Linked DNA regions of Arabidopsis thaliana. The protein of the gene in region 2 interacts with the protein of the main gene of each other region in a pairwise test. Each region holds a gene or a part of one and is shown on either strand. Other genes may lie near its edges.

Region 1 (4,483 bases), 7.1 Mb from region 2:
GTTATTGTTCTGTTTCTACAAAATGATATGTAGTGTGTACTGATTTGGTTCGTGGAGCTAAGGACAAGAGACTGAGAGTTAAGGGTCCAGTCAGAATGCCCACCAAGGTTCTCAAGATCACTACCCGTAAAGCTCCTTGTGGTGAAGGTATGATGATTATGCTCATCTCATCTTTTATATTGCCTTCAGAATCACTAGAGCTTGTTGTTGGAACCACTCCCTTAGTTCATTTGCTCTATTAAACCTAGGATTTAGGTCTTAGAATTTGTGATTGTGCTCAATACTGTTTTATACTCTGTCACTGCAAGTGTCTTCACATTTGCTGAAACTCTCTTAACTATTGGTATTGTAAACAGGAACCAACACATGGGACAGATTCGAGCTTAGGGTACACAAGCGAGTTATAGATCTTTTCAGCTCTCCTGATGTGGTCAAGCAGATCACCTCCATCACCATTGAACCTGGTGTTGAAGTTGAGGTCACCATCGCTGACTCGTAGATCAACCCTTCTGTGGCTTTGGTATCTCTTTTCAAATTCTCTTAAGAAACAATCTTCTTTTCCCGTAACGACATTCCTTTTGAGTTAAAAAAAAAACAAATGTTTTGTTGTAGTGAAACCCAAGTTCTTATGTTTTCTTAATTTAATAGATTTTGAATTTTTTAATTAGAAGTTCGTCCTTTATTCTTAACTTGAGATCTTTTGACCCTCTCGATGACATAACTCTGTATGAAGTTACCAACTTGCTATCTCATTTCAAATTGAGAGATCTATTACGAGAAAGATTAAAGTTTAATCAGCCATAAATTGAAAAGCTAAGTATCACGAACATAATACTTTATCGTTGAACATAATACAACTCTTTCATCGTTAAAATAACACAACTACTATGTTTTCGAGTACAATTGTGAAGAGTCTAGTGATCTTTGGTCTCACTTTCATGAACCATCTCTTCAGCATCCTCAAACCTCTGATCATTGATTTGGAGCTGCAGTGTGAATACAAAAGGCAGATGAAACCACGCTCAATTTTTTAAAAACAAAAAAAGAGGAAAAATTGAAAGCAGAGTTTTGTAACTTTGTATTACCTCAAGCATAGGCTGATTAAGACCTTCATCTCCATTGGAATGACCAATTACACTAGTCGGACTCTGAGATATTTGCCACTCTGCATCATCATCTGTTGCAAACACATAGAAAACCATCACATTTCATTCGTACCATTCAAGATGAATACATTAACACACTCTTTAATTCGGTCTAAGTCATATGAAAACATTAATTACCTCCTCCACGAACATCCATCTGATCAGCACTAAACACCCAATTATGTCCGCTTTCTTCTTCTTCTTCTGAAAGATGCAATGAAACCAAAGATATAAATGGCTAGGTAACCAAAAAATGCAATTAGTGATACTATTAAACCAGTAATTATATGTTTTACCTTGAACTGGTTCAGGATTCAGCTCAGCACACTCGCAGAATACATCAAACAGCGTCTCCACTTTCATATGACAAGACAAAACGATATATCAGCTTAATAATATCCAAGACTCTTATATAATGAAACAGCCGATTCTAATAGCTCTAAAGATTGCTACATAACAACTCACACTGGGTAGAGTCAGAAGGAACAAGCCTCATCTCTCTGATCTTTGATAAGTCCAAAACTTCAGTGGATTCTGAATCAGACTCATCATCCTCATCTTCTTCAACTTCAATCTTCAAAACATTAAACCAAAAACTTAGCAAAATGAGAACAGAAAAGACTTAATCACACCTCTCAAATCCAATTAAAACGTGTAAGCCACTTTCTCAAATTCCAGCAAGCACTTGCAACAAGCAACATTACAGTACAGGCCTAAGAACTAATCACAATCAACGAGAACAACACTAATTCCCTTTTAAGCTACCAAGTCTAACAAAACCCAGAAAAATTGCAAGAGTTGAATACCTGAGTATATATACAAGGAGATGAATAAGCCTCAGGATCTCTAGAAACAGCGTGAAGCGATATTGATAAGAAATCAACTGCGTATCCTTTAGCCATGTCTACATCGCTCAGCCAAATTAATTTCCTGAAATCAAATCACAAAATTAAGCTAAGACATTTATCTCAATCGAGAAGGACTAGATTTTGAGTTAATTTTTGTACCTGGAAGTGATGTAGAGAGTTCCGGGAGACTCAATGGGACGGTTTCCGAGAGCGACGGCGACGGAAGTCTGAACGTGCATAAGTTCCTCGCCGTTAGATTCATCCAGTACCGGTTTCCCGGAGCCATCTTCGGTTCTGAGCGTGAAATCTCTTAGACCAGCCACCATTTTTTCCGATCACAAAGAAAGAATCGTCAAAAAAAACAGAGATTTTCAGGCAGGGTTTTTCTTAGGGTTTCTCAGAGGAATGATTTGTTACGTTTACTGATGAAGAACACTACAAGGCTTTTGACAAAATGGGCTTCGTTAAAAAAGCCCATACTACATTAAAACATAAGCCCACTAAACTATTGAGATCAGATAAGTCTCTCTGGTGGTCCATTTCCCTTGAACCTTTTTTGTTACTTTGTGTGAATGTAATGTTTGGTTGTTGATTAATGTTGTTTCGAATAAATTTTGTTATGTAAATATATTTATGGGTGAAAAATGTCGTTGTCTTTGAGAGTGATGAGGTGTGGGAGATGATGGATAAGGAAGAGATGGGGGTGGTCATTCATGGGGATAGGGGAAGGTTATGGGACATATAGAGATTGTGACAATGCTTTATATTAATGAACGGATCATTGTCAACAACGACTCTTCTCTTCAAATTGTTATCTATTTTCTTAACGGAGATGTCGGTTGATAAAAATAATATACATTCATTACGAGTTGTCTACTTCGAAGAAGGAGTTTATTTGGTGCCTCCCAGCTATGTGCACAAGCCTAGTTGAATTCAATGACTTATAAGTTTAGGTCGATGAGAATTTGGATCATATATCTAAAAGTACTGTAGAAGATTATGTTTTACCTTTGGGCATAGATTTGATTCAATGAGAAATGGAACGACCAAAAGTCGAAAGAATCGGACCAAAGTAAAACCATTCCTTAGAGATGATGAACTTCATTATATAGTGAATTCCAAGACAATGATTAACAAAATCACATAAGAATTAATTAGATTTTGGTAGTTCATCTTCAATATAAGAACTACGTTAATTTTTCGTCTTTACGGATTTCACTATATATTAATCTTCTTGGTTTTATAATAAAGGTAACGGTGATGAAAAAAAGAAGAAGATCTTTTTAAAATACAATTTTAAGGCAAACGAATACATGTCTGAAGACCCTATATACTATTACTAATATCTGTTTGACGTGCTTGTCGGTTTTAAATAGTGTCAACAAAAAAAATTAGACTCAACAACTCAATAATATACGTTTTTTTTTGTCAATTCTCAATAATATACGTCTACATCTATTTTGAGAATCTGTATAAGACAGCTAAATACATATGCTTACTTTAATGTTTCATTATATTAGTTTCAGATGCCATCTCTCATGCATGCATGTGCATTTTTTGAATATCTTATTTGCTAAACATCCAAAATCTGAAGAATAACAATGCGTGTACATATGCTCAAGAAAAGACAAAAAAAAAAAAAAAAAAAATCCAAAATCAGAGAGAAGTTTAAACCAAAACACATCATTTCATATTTACACTTACAAAAAAAGTCATTTACTCGAAAAACATAGACTTTTTCACTCTTCTCACCACACAAAATACTCCAAAGCCAATCAAAACTCTCTTAATATAATTACTTATACAAAATAACTAATCATCTTCTTAATTACTACTTTCACTCGTCTGAACCATCACAGAGGTGATCATCTTTGCTCTAACGTACCCAATAATCTATAAGATTTGAATTTAAGCTTCAATAATGGCTTCTCCTCGGGGAACCCTAACCCTAAACACATGTTCCTCTCCAGTGCACTTATCAACCTTCACCACCCAACGACTCTTCCTCATCACTTGGTCACGATGGTGATTTTTCATCATCATCTTCTGATTATCATTGACCCTCGTCACAAGTAACCCTTCTCCTATAGGTAAAAACTGCGTTTTCCTTCCATCGCTAAACCTCCATGACCCTCTCGAAAACGCGTTATAACCCACCACAACCGCCACACCGCTTCCACCCCCGGTTCTTGCGTTTTCTTCGTGATGATTAAGGATTTTTCCAACGATCTCTTGGTGGTTTTCGAGGTTACAATCCACGAGGACGAAATCTGCTTCTCCGAAATGATTATTGATTAGAGTGTCGTCGTTAGATTCTCCGACTACGAATTGTATCTGATGAATCTCTGATGGTTCCAACATTTTTTGGGATATGATTAGTTCTTCGATACCACGTAAAACGCATACAACTTGACCACGCGTTTGGTTAGCCGCTGCGATTAGTGCAACGAGTATGTCGGCGTTTGCTGCTCCGGCGCAAGCCACGGCTAT
Region 2 (4,926 bases):
TTTTATTTAAAGTAAAAGGTGACTAATAATTTGGAAGATTCAAAGATTGTGATTCTGCCTCAAGTGGTTTGGTTCTCCAGCCGGGTCTTGCGGTGGGGAAAATGAGAGGTGTAGTTTGGCAGCGGATGACGCCTATCTGTTAGAACCATCTGGGAGGTAATCTATGAGTAGGGCTGTCATTTGGTCATGACCATGTCCATATGGCCGTCCGAGCGGACACTCTCTTTCTGTTGGCTTTGATGTTGCTATTGCAGCCATCTAGGTGTAACAAGCCAATGCATTCTTTTGTGAGCGCATTGGCCGATTAGATTAGCATCGATCAACATAGGTTTTTTCATAATATTTAGTATTGAATTTTTTATATGAGAGGTCACTGGTTAGTGCATAGCTCCTTCGTAAATCATTTATAGGAATCAAAAACAACCAAGATATGAGATGTGAAAAACATACTAATCCAAATGTGCAATTTAGTTAAAAATGTTATAGACAACTGTTAAGTAAAAATGAGGAAAAAGTGACCAGTTATTAATGATGTTATTATATCGTTGAAAAATTTTGATACAAATCGGAAACCTAATCGTATTTTCCAACTTAAACAAAGTAAAAGAAAAAAAAAAGAAAAAAAAGAAAGCAAAGGTTAACATTATTGGTTTCTAAGTTCTAATTTTTAGTAGGAGGCTCCGCCAACAGTTTTTGAACATTGTTCCTTTAGCATAGGAGGAAAAAACGGATTGAACGGAAGTTGCGGAATACAATTGGTTTCGGCTTCCAAAATTGCTTTGCAACAAGCTGAACCTATCTTGCCGAACTTTTCTAAGAGTATGGATTGCGAAAACTCTACGATGCACCCTGGAATATTTATCACAGATGATAAACATTTTGTTATATCAGGTAATCCTGGTACACCGGGACTCGGTAGAAATGGAAATGGAAAAGGAAAAAGTGCCGGAAATTGTGGTAATTGGGCATTTACAGACAATGCAATGCATAAAACCGCTAGAAATAAGATCACGTTTTTTATAGCCATAATAAAAAAAAAAAATGTTTGAAATATTCCAATATATAATTCTTTCTCGTGTTTGTTGTTGAGTGATAAACAATACTAAGATCAAATTTATTTATAGGGGAAGAAATGAACTATGGTGGTACTAATTGAATTTGTCTTTATGAAACGTTTTTCAAATCTTTATTAGGTAATTTAATAACAGGCAGTTTCTTATTTTGATTGAGTGAGCAGTTTCTAAAATTAAAAGATAGTCCACAGCCACACACCTCTATGAGAAATATTTATTACTTTACTATCGATGAGAGGAGATGATATATGTATAACCGAAATAATTCAGAGTTTAATCCAATAAATCCAGTTAATATTAATCCTTCGGTGTTGGTAGATCTTTTGTTCGTTTCTCCCTTTTTTTTTATTCTACAGCAAAAATGGTCTCTTGAATCTAAAGACAATACTCTATGTACAATATCTCGGAGATTCAACGATTTAATAAAAGTTTAAAGAGAATAATAATAATTTTTTCGCTCTTAGACAAAAAGAAATCATTAAAGTTTTTTCAATGAATAATAATAAATTTACAAAACTATACTATATAAATTAATTTGACAAATGGTGAAAAAAAAAAAAAGGCAATACACCTATGTTATGTATAGCCTAACCCATTCTAACTAGGCCCAAATTGAAACAAAGCCCAACAAGAAGGAAAGTGTCATTCATTCTTTCTCGAATAAAACCGTAGAAATTCCCCCTCTTCCCCAATTCCACTGCCAAAACTCTTCGCTTAATTCTCCGGCGTATACAAGTCGCCGGCAAAAATGTCGATGTCGAAGAGCTCCAAGATGCTTCAGTTCATAAACTACAGGATGCGAGTAACAATCCAAGACGGAAGACAGCTAATCGGAAAATTCATGGCGTTCGATCGCCACATGAATCTTGTTCTTGGCGACTGCGAAGAGTTTCGAAAACTTCCTCCGGCGAAAGGTAATAAGAAGACGAACGAAGAAAGAGAAGAGCGTCGTACGCTTGGTTTGGTTTTACTTAGAGGAGAAGAAGTGATTTCGATGACTGTCGAAGGTCCACCGCCACCTGAAGAATCTCGCGCCAAATCTGGATCTGTAACCGCTGTGGCTGGTCCCGGAATCGGTCGTGCTGCTGGACGTGGAGTACCTACTGGTCCATTGGTTCAAGCTCAGCCTGGTTTATCTGGTCCTGTTCGTGGAATTGGTGGACCTGCTCCTGGAATGATGCAGCCTCAGATCTCTAGACCACCACAGATTATTCGTCCTCCGGGACAAATGCCACCACAGCCTCCTTTTGCTGGTCAAGGAGGTCCTCCTCCACCTTATGGTATGAGACCACCGTATCCTGGTCCACCACCGCCTCAGTATGGTGGACAGCAAAGGCCAATGATGATTCCTCCACCTGGTGGTATGATGAGAGGACCTCCTCCACCTCATGGTATGCAAGGACCGCCTCCTTCTCGCCCTGGAATGCCTCCCCCCGGTGGTGCTCCGATGTTTGCTCCGCCTCATCCTGGCATGCCACCTGCTCCGCCAAATCACCATAATCAGCAACATTGATTAGGTAGCTGTTTATCAAGTTTTGGAACACTACTTGATTATCCTTTATTATCTGCTGATGGTTGCTTGTAAGTGTAGCTTGGCTATGATGTGAGATTTGGTTGAAATTGAACTTATTTTGATTTAGCTTGGACTTGTGTAGTGACTGAAGTTTATAAATCATAAGTTAGCTGCAGTCTCTACTAGTCTGCTGATAGTTTATTTGTGAAACCTTTAACTTACACAAAAACTTTCTTGTAACTTGAACTGATAACTTACACAGAAATTCTACTTAATTAGCCTTTATAATTTATCAGCAATTTCTAGTCTGCTTGGCCATGTGTGATTTGTGTGGAATTGAACTTGTCTTGATTAGCTTGGGCATGTGTTGTGAGTAGTAGTCTGCTCATGACTGTCTTAGCTTGCACAGTTTCTAGGTTGTTGATGAGTGCTTTGTTGTCAGTTGCTTTTCTTCTTATGTTTCCTTAAGAGTATGATCACTTTAAAAGGTTTGTTACTATAAAGCATTCTAGAATCATCACATTGTGAATCCTGTAACTTACACTCAGAAACTCTCTTGCCTGTTGTTCTAATGAGTTTGAAAAACCCTTATTACACTTTTAGAAGCATGAATAACTCATGATGAACTTCTCAGTTCACTTTTAAACGTGTTTAATATCTTCCCAACTAGTAGAACCTTTATGATCCTTGTTTAAGGTTTGTTCGTGAATTTTGTTTTGGAAAGCTGTAGATGTTGTAGGGTTCATTAGCTATATTGGAAGAACTTGTGGATACATCTTTTTGCCCTTGCTCTCTGTTGGCATATGATATTGGATGATTTTTTTTTTTTAATATCTCTGTTAGAAAGATCTGCTAAGTACAATTTTCTCGATCTGGATTGTAGGAGTCACTTCATCTACAACGAAAGCAACATCCACATGATTGAGTTACCCCTCGGCTAGTCGTAGCGTTTTTCTCCGTGAAGCTCAGAGAATTGATGAGTTCATATTGGTGATTTCTCGTGGAAAAAGCAACTGATTTTAGAAATAGTGAACTTGTAGGAGTTACAACCTTGCTCCATGAACTTGAATGTATTACTTGTAAAAGAGGCTCTCAATGGTTTTGACTGGCAATTCGGTTCTCAACATATATTAGGCTATGTTGCTGGTTATGTACGTAACAAATATCTTACGGTAGTCTTACACTGGATCAGACACCCACCCTCCTAAACATGCAACTAAACATGCAAATCCCGATCGCTTGATCTAAAACTTCCGTAGAAGCTAACCGTTTTTTTTTAATAATGAGTCCTTGTTCAACAACCCCACCGATCGTATCCAGGCCTTTGACCACATTATCTACGTAATTTTAAATAATCAAACATCGAGCGATGTGCGAGTTTACTATGCTGAAGGGAAAAGCTTTTACTGATTGATGCTTGGCATTGGAGTTTTGAGTATAGCATCAAGAATGTTCTGACCATTGCTAATGACTATAGGAAAATCCCTCCAAAAGGGCTTGCAACTCCTACAAACGAAACGAGTCTTCACACAATCAATAGAACCAAAACCCCGATAAATAATTTGTGAAAGAACCAGTTTCTCTTCCCTGCATTGCTTGAGTACAAATCATCTGTCTTCCCAGTCACGATAAACTAAATAAGAGTGCAAGTGAAAATGAAGAAGTCACTTACGGGGATTTTGACTCGTACTGGTCCTGCAATTTAGATTTACAAGATCCTTTATTTCGATATGGTTCTGCAGACAATATCATTGTTAATAGAGGTTTAATTGTAAGATATGCTAATAGAGAGACCAAGGATTAAAGAAGATAAAGAAGACCAGAGGTTGGCAACAAGATCAAAATGCACTCGAGGAATGAAGTAATATGCGTATACAAACATATACAAATACTTTTCATACAATGTTAGCTTCGCTGTAATATCTACATATAAACACATAGATGTATACTGTGACTTAATTGATAAATTATACATATTACCAACATCACATATATAGTAATGATAATCATACTAAGTGACACCACACAACATGCACACCAAACTTGTCAAATCGACCCAACTTTAAAAGAAAATGTTTCATCATATAGCATTAATGTATTTCAGCTCTTGTCATGCCCTAACTTCAGTCTAGTGTTTGTCTCAAATCTCAAAGACTGCAAAATAACAGCCTCCACTGACCTCTGAAGCTCATGGACATAAAGGGATTTAAAAGAGTTGGATTAGGCCGCATTCGCTTACCGCACACTTGTAACGATCAGCTCTGAACTCCAAAACGAACTCACTGGAAGTCACCACTAGTTCAAATTCGAATGTATACAGATTCTCCATTAAAAGTGGAC

Evidence for each region.
Region 1: the proteins of AT5G44500 (region 2) and AT5G62290 interact in a two-hybrid assay, tested with the Arabidopsis thaliana proteins (one large-scale study listed by BioGRID).

What each region holds. Positions count from the first base shown.
Region 1 is NC_003076.8:25,017,404-25,021,886, reverse strand, and holds AT5G62290 (nucleotide-sensitive chloride conductance regulator (ICln) family protein), read right to left. Parts: upstream 2,713-4,483; 5' UTR 2,320-2,712; coding exon 2,153-2,319; intron 2,076-2,152; coding exon 1,952-2,075; intron 1,720-1,951; coding exon 1,611-1,719; intron 1,502-1,610; coding exon 1,442-1,501; intron 1,350-1,441; coding exon 1,284-1,349; intron 1,178-1,283; coding exon 1,086-1,177; intron 987-1,085; coding exon 915-986; 3' UTR 756-914; downstream 1-755. Other genes in the region: AT5G62300 (Ribosomal protein S10p/S20e family protein), read left to right, coding at 34-147, 357-499; AT5G62280 (DUF1442 family protein (DUF1442)), read right to left, coding at 3,902-4,483. UniProt on the Arabidopsis thaliana protein: May participate in cellular volume control by activation of a swelling-induced chloride conductance pathway.
Region 2 is NC_003076.8:17,925,684-17,930,609, forward strand, and holds AT5G44500 (Small nuclear ribonucleoprotein family protein), read left to right. Parts: upstream 1-1,763; 5' UTR 1,764-1,821; coding exon 1,822-2,586; 3' UTR 2,587-2,590; exon of another isoform or gene 2,591-3,469; 3' UTR 3,470-3,989; coding exon of another isoform or gene 3,990-4,109; 3' UTR 4,110-4,152; downstream 4,153-4,926. Other genes in the region: AT5G44490 (FBD, F-box, Skp2-like and Leucine Rich Repeat domains containing protein), read left to right, coding at 81-160; AT5G44495 (ECA1 gametogenesis related family protein), read right to left, coding at 668-1,027; TAO1 (target of AVRB operation1), read right to left, coding at 3,990-4,092, 4,259-4,281, 4,599-4,646, 4,826-4,926.